Arabidopsis thaliana: one gene and its partner. The protein of the gene in region 1 interacts with the protein of each later gene in a pairwise test. Each region holds a gene or a part of one and is shown on either strand. Other genes may lie near its edges.

Region 1 (5,377 bases):
AAAACAACACCAGCCACATTACCGCCATTGCAGACAATACCATTCCATGAAGAAGGACAACCATTGAAGTCAATAGACTCATCGTTCCATGAATTAAGGACAAACCCTGTAGGGTCATGTTTGATGCCTTTCTTGAATTCAAGCAATGCCATGATGTCCTGTGATGGAAGTTGCCCCATTGCAGATAGAAAAAACATGGAGAGTAACAAAATCCTAGAAAGATTCATCCTTCCTTGACTTCAAATCTTTTCCCCCAAAAAGCTACAGTTTTTGAAGAATCCCAACAACTTTTCCAGCTCACCAACGCAGAAAATTCATGGAACCCCAAGTAAATCTGACATAAAACATAATGAAATAAGACAAAACCCATCAATGTTACCAAAAAAAAGTTTAAATCTTTCTGCAAAAATCAACAATACCAGAAATTTCACTCTGATAAAAAAAAAAACAGAAGCTAAAGAAAGAAACTTTACCTAAGATGAACAAATCTTCTGAGAAACCCCAATCAAACAAAATGCAGTAATGCTACTGAGTGAGAAGAGACAATCTTCACTCAAAGGGAATCAGCTGAAAAAAACATTAAATGAACAAATGGGCTATTCAATATTTGGGTCCCATTCCGAGATCTAACCTAACTCCAAAGCAAAGAGATAAATGAAAAGTGAGGATTTTTAAACTTACGGGGATGAAAAAAGCTTCTCACTGCAAGAACAATGTCGACAGAGTTGAAGAAGAAGGAAGACAAAAACTTTAAAGCAGAATCATTTTGTTCATTAGCTCATGAACTGCACGGGGTTTTGGATTAAGCTCAACAGTGTTGTAGACTGAGTCACTGAGCTAACTGAGGGAAATCTTTGTGGGTCACTTTAAAAATTAAAAACCCTTAAAAGATTGTCACTGTTTAAGAACAAAAGAAAGAAGCCAAAACAAAATTAAAGATAGAGAAAATGTTTTGCTAGTTTTCACGTTCGACAGTGACGAACGACAAGGACCTTGTAAAAGGGTAAGTCTTGAAGCGTGTGAACGGACACCAAATCAAAAACCCTAAATAAAAAGTAAAATAGCAAGAAATTATTTTCATGGGTTCACGAGAAGAAAATTATATATTAATTTACTTTTTCATAGTCTTTTCAGTGAGGAAAGATTTAAAATATAGTTTAATTACCCGCCTGGAATGGCCCGGGAAAGGAATCCAAAAAAAATGAAAAAAGCTACTTACACTAATGTTTTTAGTGAGTGTGACCATGGTGGACGTGAAAGGGTTTATCCAATATGGTTATGAGTCTATGTCCTTGCCTTTAGTGAGAGAGATTTACAGCATTGGGAAAATAAGCGAAAATTGCGCAGTGTTCTAATAAATTTTGGTAGAAACTTGCAATAAATGAATTTACATAAATAAATAATAGGGAAAATAAAAAGAGTAATGAGAGTTCGGAGTGAATGTTATTTACACCAAAATACAGATATTAAAAGCTTGCAAGGAAAATGTGTAGTAAATGAAACATGATTTTTTGAACAATCCAGAAAAAATAGTAATGAATATTCGGACAAATAAATATTTTTGAAGTTGATACCACATTAATTAGTAGGAAAATGTAGAAGCGAAATAAATACCGCGTAGGAAAATGGGTCCCACATGCTGACTACGTTGACTAGGGAAGACCGGAAGAGACAAGGGCATCAGACCAATTATTTGGGTTCTACTGATAATGTTGAAAGTAAATGTCCGGGTTCAGAATAAATTAATAGTTAAGGGGTCATAATTCAAAAAACAAAAATCTGAGTGTTTTGATGAGATTACACACTTACGTCTAAAACTCACTCTCATTTGCTAATTGTTAACTTGCTCTGAGTTTGAAGAAATTCATCAATGGCGATTCGCAGAGCGCAAACTCTACTTTGTCTTTCTAAATTCAAAACCAATTTCGTGTCTGGGTCGCTCCACCGGTTCTCTTCTTCGTCTCAAAATTCAAATCAATTCCAGGTTCTGCTTTTTAAATTGTCTTCATGATCAGAAAACATAATCTCTTTTCCTCATAAGTCACCTAGAATTTTATTGAAACGTTCTAAAACATGATCCTTAAGGTAGTTGGAATAAAAGATCTTAACTTTTGTAATCTCGAGCATAGTTAATAAGAATTTTAGTGGCCAAATTGCTTATTGATCTTGACCACTTATCTAAATTCATCAGTTCTGCAAAAAAAGTTGTCTGGATTAGATTTTTAACAGCAAAATTTGTCTGATTCAGTACCCAAAATTTATGTAAATGAAGTCTCATTTTTGCTGTTTTGTCAGAATGTTGGTTTCATAGGACTTGGAAATATGGGATTCAGAATGGTGAATAATCTAATTAGAGCTGGATATAAAGTTACCGTTCATGACATGTAATGTACTTTGAGTGCGTTTTGCTGCCTATCAATTTTCATATTTGGTTAATGTTGATTCCTTTGATTAACTTTCTTGTGCATATACTTGTGTTTGAATTTTCAGAAACCGTGATGTTATGAAAATGTTCACTGAAATGGGAGTCTCTTCTAGAGAAACTCCTTATGAAGTTGCACAAGATAGCGAAGTTGTGATTACAATGTTGCCTTCATCATCTCATGTAAGTTATTTACCTTTAGCAATAGTTTTATATGAAAACAGTTTGAAAGATCGTCCTGTTAGCTGTATGATTAGCTGCACCTAGTCTACGAGATAGTATTGTTGTTTACTCCTGGTACTGAAAGAATGTTAATCTTCAATTGATTGGATGATTTTTATGAAGGAAAAAAAATTGTGATTGATGTAGGTGATGGATGTGTACACAGGAACAAATGGGTTGCTTCTTGGAGAAAATGATATAAGACCTGCTTTGTTTATAGATTCATCCACTATTGATCCACAAACAACTCGAAAAATCTCACTTGCTGTTTCTAATTGTAATTTGAAAGAAAAGAGAGGTAAAGCTTAGATAGGATTTGGAAGGAAGTTAGTTTCTTCTTATGAGTTAACAACAGCTTCATTTTGTTCTTCTTGTGAACAAGTCGAGATTGTTTCATTTTCACTAGTTTCAAGCATCTTTGATGTAGATAATTGGGAAAAGCCAGTCATGTTGGATGCTCCCGTCTCTGGAGGTGTTCTTGCTGCAGAAGCTGGTACACTTACTTTCATGGTATGTTGACGACTCTCTTATCTTCTACATTATTTGAATCACATCCTTTATATAACATCAAGTTTGAAGATTATGTGTGCTTGTATACCTACAAGAGCACAATGGCATTGATACAACTGCACGTTCTGTAGGTTGGAGGTCCCGAAGATGCTTACTTAGCCGCTAGACCAATACTTCAGTCAATGGGCAGAACCTCCATCTACTGTGGTGGTTCAGGAAATGGATCTGTAAGTTCGCTTTATACCATGTTTCCGTAACTCTGTTACAGTATCTCTATTATCTTGATCTTTGGTATATTTGTCTCTACAATTCTTAAGGATAATAGACTGAGAAACGACATGTTTTGTTTTAAACTTAGGCCGCAAAGATTTGTAACAATCTGGCAATGGCCGTGAGTATGCTCGGCACTTCAGAAGCCTTAGCTCTTGGTCAGTCACTTGGAATATCTGCCAGTACTTTAACAGAAGTCTTAAACACATCTAGTGGCCGTTGTTGGAGCAGGTAAGTAAATGAAATGACCTCTTCAAATTTATAATCGTCTTCTCATCAAGAGCAAGCACACCAAATTCTTAACTTCCTTTCCTTATATTATGATAACCGCAGTGACGCATACAATCCAGTTCCAGGAGTGATGAAAGGTGTGCCATCTTCAAGGGATTACAATGGCGGTTTCGCCTCCAAACTTATGGTCAGTTTCTTAAGAAATCTCTATATCATTGATCCTGTAAAATGTCTCTAAAGCACATTTCTTTTGTTACACAAGTCTTTCATGTATATAGTGTATTGGAAATGCAGGCTAAAGACCTAAACCTCGCAGCAGCCTCAGCTGAAGAAGTTGGACACAAAAGCCCATTGATATCCAAAGCACAAGAAATGTGAGTACTTCAGTAGTCTTTTCTCCTAGAAGCTCTATTCCTTATGAGTTGTTGTGAACAAAGAAGGCTTGTGAATGAAACTTTATGGAAACAACGTAGAAATTTCTTATGAAGCAAAAAGCACACACATCAAGCTGAAGATTTTGTTTTTTTGTTTTTGCAGTTACAAGAAGATGTGCGAGGAAGGACATGAAACGAAGGACTTCTCTTGTGTTTTCAGACACTTTTACAATGGGAAAGATGAGGTCTGAGACAATCTTAACAACGACCCTGCAAAATAACCGGTTTCTTTGTGCATTTAGATTGTTGATTTTCATTGCTAAGAATAATAAAAGTCTTGGAAAGGCTGTGATGTTAATAAGCGATGTGAATTGTAATTAGTTTGAGAACATCTCTCTGGTGTTGAACATTACTCTTGGAATCACCAATCAATTAGTTATGAGGTCAGCGAAGAATAAAGCATGAAGGATCCTATAGAGAGGATTAAACAAAGCTCAGAGTCAAAGTTCTAAACTTTTCTTTTACCCGGAAAAAAGTCAACAACAATTCAAACAATAGTCACCTATGGTGTAATTACATTTCTTAACAGTGTTACTCGCTAACCAATCCGTAAATATACCATTTTCCTTATCTATATTCGTATTTAATTTGATTATTAATCATTCTTGGCTATTTACCTAAAGTTAATGAAGATTCACCTTCGTCACCAATGAGAGAACCAAACCATTTTTGCAGAATCTCCGGTACAATTACGGAAACAGTTGTTTGTGTTAATATCTACAATGTGAAATGACTACAACCACCCTCGCTTTCTTCAGCACACCGCTACATTTGAAATCTCCCAACTTTTTTCATTCTCTCTGTTGCTCAAACTAGTTTCCCTCAACACTCAAAGGTACGTCTTTGATCCTTCTTCTTGTGTTTCGCTTCGTTACTTATGGGTTCTTTCTGAAATTCGACTTCATCACACCATCATTTCTGTTTATGACAATTCGTTCCTCGTAATGTTACTTCAACCTCTACCTGTTTTTCTGCTTCATTCGCGCGAAAAATCGTTGCTTTTGACTCATGTTCCTCTGTTTCATCTTACTGTTGTCTGTCTTAAAACCTGAAGTCTCCGAATTTAGGTCATCATCTTGTATCTCTTTCAAAAACCCTAGTTTTTTGGGGTTCTGTGCAGTGAGCAGCCGTACAGTTTGCACTGAAGTTACCATCTTTCATGATCTTTGAAGTATCTATATGAATCATAGATAGTTCTTTTGTTTGTCTCAGTGTAGAAAGAAGCCTCAGTGAGTTTGTAATGGCGGGTGAGGAGAAGCAGACTCTTACTCCAAAGGAGATGATACTT
Region 2 (4,445 bases), 2.8 Mb from region 1:
ATTTAGGTTGGCCACGATCGTGTGATCGAAGATCATCTTCGTTATGTCTTAGTATCCTGGATCTCTTTAGAAATGGAAAATAATAGTCAATATGACTGATGTGACTTGAAATAATAATTAGTTACTTGAATTCCTTAATGATATTTTGTAAGTTAGAGGGTTTTTTCCCTAGTCCATCTACGAAAGCTTAAGAAAAGGTTTTGCTGCATGTGCCTGTTGTTCTACAAGCATATTAAACATTCTTGTCTGTAATCTTGCATCAGAAGCCCAGCTGAAACAAGTGAGCTCGTTGGGCAAATGACGATATTCTATAGTGGAAAAGTGAATGTGTATGATGGAATACCACCTGAAAAGGTAAATCAATAACATTATTCTGTCCAGTCTGAAAATAGAAATTTTGTTGGCATGTTTTTGATCATTCATCCTTTGTATTGGTTTGCAGGCCCGGTCAATCATGCACTTTGCAGCCAATCCAATTGATTTGCCTGAAAACGGTATTTTTGCTTCCAGTAGAATGATTTCAAAGCTCATAAGTAAAGGTAAGCTTTTGCTAAAGTGTCTGATCTGTTTTTCAGTTGATAGATAGATGATTCAAACATGAAATGATTTTGTTTTGTGTATCATCAAACTGGAAAAAGTTCATGGACCAGCTTTTCTGACGCAGTAGAGCTTTTTTATTTATTTTCTCTTCTTGCAAACACTGCTTTTGTTTTGTCCAACTTTGAAAGGAGGCATGGGTAGTTGACCAAGGAAGTATGTCTAAATGTTGCATTGTGCTATACTACCTTGCGTAAAATATCCAAATGCCTCTTGCATGTTTTTGTGATAGTGATTCCACTTTCCTTCTTCAGAGTCTAGTTTGAATTAGTCAAAAATCAAATTGAAAATGTGAAATCTTATTGCAGAGAAGATGATGGAACTTCCCCAAAAAGGCCTTGAGAAGGCGAATTCTTCTCGTGATTCTGGTATGAACAGTATTCATATTACCTTAATGATTCTCGGAGCGAAACTTGATCAACACATCTTCACCTGTGCAAAGCTATGCTAATGTTGTTAACTTGGAGGAAACTTGGCTTGCTTGTTGTTCTGCATGTTATATGACCTGTGAAGTTTATTAATCTAACCGTCGTTCTATGTTTTTTGGGTCGTTCTTAAGGTATGGAGGGCCAGGCGAACAGAAAGGTATCTTTGCAAAGATATCGTGAAAAGCGGAAAGACAGGTGCATTTATATACTTACGCTTATTCCAAAATCGCTATAAACTGATATGTTTTCGTAATGTGCAGAAAATTCTCAAAGGCCAAAAAGTGTCCAGGAGTTGCGTCCTCTAGCTTGGAGATGTTTCTGAATTGTCAGCCACGGATGAAAGCTGCATATTCGCAAAACCTAGGCTGCACCGGATCTCCACTGCATAGCCAGTCACCTGAAAGCCAGACAAAAAGTCCCAATCTTTCAGTTGATCTAAACAGTGAAGGTAAGAAGAGAATCATATATAAAGCTTTGTTAAATCAGTGGTTTGGATGATTTCCCTCATAACTCTCCTCGCTTGGTCTCCAGGCATTTAACAAGATACCGAAACGTGGAGATGCTATAAGCTGTGAATAGGCGTTGAAACAGTTGCTTGCTTGTAAGCTCAAAGATATGAAGAAAAGAAACCTCTCTTCGGATCGGCCTTCTTTTGTGTTTCCGGGGTTTTGCACCCATAATTTTTGGTCTATAGTTTTGAGTAGAGCTTAGTAGGTTAGTGGTAATTTCTTGTTTCTGATTCTTTTTGTGAGGATATAGTCACAGAGAGTAGAGACAAGAGAGGTGAAAGAAGGGCTTTCATTTTCTAGGTGTTGTAATGTGTAAATGATGTCTTACTTGACACTTTTAACGAGAGAGACCTTTTAGCCAAAGTGTTTCTTACTCTCGACTCGAGTCTTACTTTGACACCACCAAACTTCTCTTCTTTTGTCCATTTTTAACCCAGTTTTTAACTTTTAACTTTGTTAACTTTTTTACAATAATTACCACTCTAACTAACGTATTTACATTTTCTCAAACCTCAAAAATGTGATAAATAGTCTGAAACGGATATATGTGGAGGCGGCATTTCCCTCGCCGCACGCCGGCGGATGGAGGGTAGTTTAGTCTTTTAACCTTTTTCTCTGTTTTTGTCCCAAAAGATAAAACGAAAATGACTTCTTTTGAAAAGGAGAGAAGGCATATATCGCGTGGATTTGAAGACGAAGAGGAATCATAAAAAGCCTAACGAAGAAGACGAAGAAGAAGAGGAACAAACAACCATGGGTGAAGTGGTTAAGGTAATCGTAAATCTCTTGCTTCTGATTCTGATTTCGTGAAAGCTCATCGGAAAATTTCTTGTTTCAGCTATGAAAACATGAATCGCCGCCGATTGTTAATTAAGTGGTCTTCAATCACTGATCACTATTCCAATTTTGATTTTTGTTTTATTTTAATCATCAAATTTGATGTTTTCTAGTTTCACTTGTTGTGTATGAAATTCAGGCTTTGTCTTGGAGGTTGCAATCGAAAATTTCACTAATTGCTGAACGTTTTTTGTTTCTCTTTCAAGCTTAGCATCATAAATTTATGTTTTCTTGTTGTGTTTGTGTATGTGTGTTTTTGCTTAGGATGGAAGAGAAGAAGTGATCCAGGCATGGTATATGGATGATAGCGAAGAGGATCAGAGACTTCCTCACCACAAGGATCCTAAGGAGTTTCTATCTTTGGACAAACTTGCAGGTCTCTTTGTGTGTTTCAATTCAGTGTTCTTCTCTCTGTTTCTCTATTTGTTTCAGATGTAATGTTTGTGTGCAGAGCTGGGAGTACTTAGCTGGAGACTTGATGCTGATAACTATGAAACCGATGAGGATTTGAAAAAGATCCGCGAATCTCGTGGTTACTCTTACATGGTTTGTTTATATAGACTTGAATGCTAGATGTTTACTTTTGAACAAGTCTTGTTTTAACTCTCTAGGGTTTTACTCAATTGTAACACTTACTCTACTGAATGTATTTAGGAAAATTCGTTGATGATTTGCAAATTGTTTTATGTGCTTGAGTCTTGGTTTGATGATGGAAAAGTGTTCAAAATGCAGGACTTTTGTGAGGTATGCCCGGAAAAGCTTCCAAACTATGAAGTGAAAGTGAAGAGCTTTTTCGAAGAACATTTGCACACTGATGAAGAGATCCGTTACTGCGTTGCAGGAAGCGGTAAGTACTTTTATTGGCTGCTTTACTTGATTTAAGTCGGTATCTATATTCTCAACGTTTCATTTTCTTGGGAAAAGGTTACTTTGATGTGAGGGATCGCAATGAAGCTTGGATTAGAGTATGGGTAAAGAAGGGAGGTATGATAGTCTTACCTGCTGGAATATATCATCGCTTCACCGTAGACTCAGACAACTATATCAAGGTGCAATGTTAGCTTCTTCAGAGTGGTTAATTCATCATATATATATTTGGTTGATTAGAAAATTGAAATATCTTGTTGAGCAGGCAATGCGGCTTTTCGTGGGTGAACCGGTCTGGACACCATACAATCGCCCACACGACCACCTCCCTGCAAGGTACAATGTTCTGTTTTCCCCTTTTGTCTCATCAAAAACTTACTCTGCAAAAGTTCATCCAAGAAAAGACACGAGAAAAGCTGTTTATGGATATCGAAACGGCTATTTTACAGGAAAGAGTACATCGATAATTTCGTGAAGGTGAATGAAGGTGGTGTCATAGACGCGTCAGCCTAGAGGATTCTCAGTCTTATGCATCAGATTTCTATAAACTAAGCATACAATAAAGAGAGCTTTCTGTCTCATGTTGGATATTATGTCATCTACAGATCCACTTGTGAAGAAACTTTGATTCGTGTGGCTTTGGCATTATGGTTGTGTTGTAACTGTATTTATAGTTTATACTCCAGAAATCAAACTGTGTTACATTATCAATCTCTCCAAAGTTTTCCTTAAACTAGCAAAAAATCACAAGTAATTGGCCAACCATGGAAGATCCTTATTGTCTTTCAATGCAAAAGCAACATCATCACTTGGAAAATTAAGCTGCAGCTTCTGCAATCTGTGCTTCTCTCCAGGTTCACAAAGAACGATTCTGCATTCACCAAGATCACAACCGATTTTGAGAAGAATGTCCCAACCGGGAAAAGCTTCACCATTGGTTAAGCAAATAGACGATACTGTTGTTGCTACTCTGTCAAAGCTTGTCTCTGCCATTCCTGTTTTGTAAAGCTCATGAACCATAGCCGTCAAGAAGATCCTACTCAGTTTCGATACACTCTTCATAACTTGAATATGAGGTGCCTGAAACATCTCTTGAATGGCTACTTCAACATCTGCCATAATCACCAGCTGACTCTTTGCAGATATGTTACTCTTCTTTAGACGGTAATCCGCTACTTCCGCTGCACGCCTGCATATCTCAAGCGCG

The links. Proteins that work in one complex are often made in the same cells at the same time.
Region 2: the proteins of AT4G20930 (region 1) and ATARD2 interact in a two-hybrid assay, tested with the Arabidopsis thaliana proteins (one large-scale study listed by BioGRID).

The regions. Positions count from the first base shown.
Region 1 is NC_003075.7:11,197,530-11,202,906, reverse strand, and holds AT4G20930 (6-phosphogluconate dehydrogenase family protein), read left to right. Parts: upstream 1-1,800; 5' UTR 1,801-1,870; coding exon 1,871-1,984; intron 1,985-2,295; coding exon 2,296-2,384; intron 2,385-2,490; coding exon 2,491-2,605; intron 2,606-2,791; coding exon 2,792-2,942; intron 2,943-3,071; coding exon 3,072-3,154; intron 3,155-3,285; coding exon 3,286-3,381; intron 3,382-3,512; coding exon 3,513-3,655; intron 3,656-3,757; coding exon 3,758-3,842; intron 3,843-3,949; coding exon 3,950-4,029; intron 4,030-4,192; coding exon 4,193-4,280; 3' UTR 4,281-4,656; downstream 4,657-5,377. Other genes in the region: GHR1 (Leucine-rich receptor-like protein kinase family protein), read right to left, coding at 1-179; AT4G20920 (double-stranded RNA-binding domain (DsRBD)-containing protein), read left to right, coding at 5,330-5,377.
Region 2 is NC_003075.7:8,424,203-8,428,647, reverse strand, and holds ATARD2 (RmlC-like cupins superfamily protein), read left to right. Parts: upstream 1-2,176; 5' UTR 2,177-2,287; coding exon of another isoform or gene 2,288-2,305; exon of another isoform or gene 2,306-2,372; 5' UTR 2,373-2,473; coding exon 2,474-2,497; exon of another isoform or gene 2,498-2,635; coding exon 2,636-2,747; intron 2,748-2,822; coding exon 2,823-2,917; intron 2,918-3,103; coding exon 3,104-3,218; intron 3,219-3,295; coding exon 3,296-3,420; intron 3,421-3,500; coding exon of another isoform or gene 3,501-3,503; coding exon 3,504-3,574; intron 3,575-3,687; coding exon 3,688-3,751; 3' UTR 3,752-3,945; downstream 3,946-4,445. Other genes in the region: PPD1 (TIFY domain/Divergent CCT motif family protein), read left to right, coding at 264-354, 443-539, 906-965, 1,157-1,220, 1,286-1,473, 1,557-1,564; ORC1A (origin recognition complex 1), read right to left, coding at 3,983-4,445. UniProt on the Arabidopsis thaliana protein: Catalyzes 2 different reactions between oxygen and the acireductone 1,2-dihydroxy-3-keto-5-methylthiopentene (DHK-MTPene) depending upon the metal bound in the active site.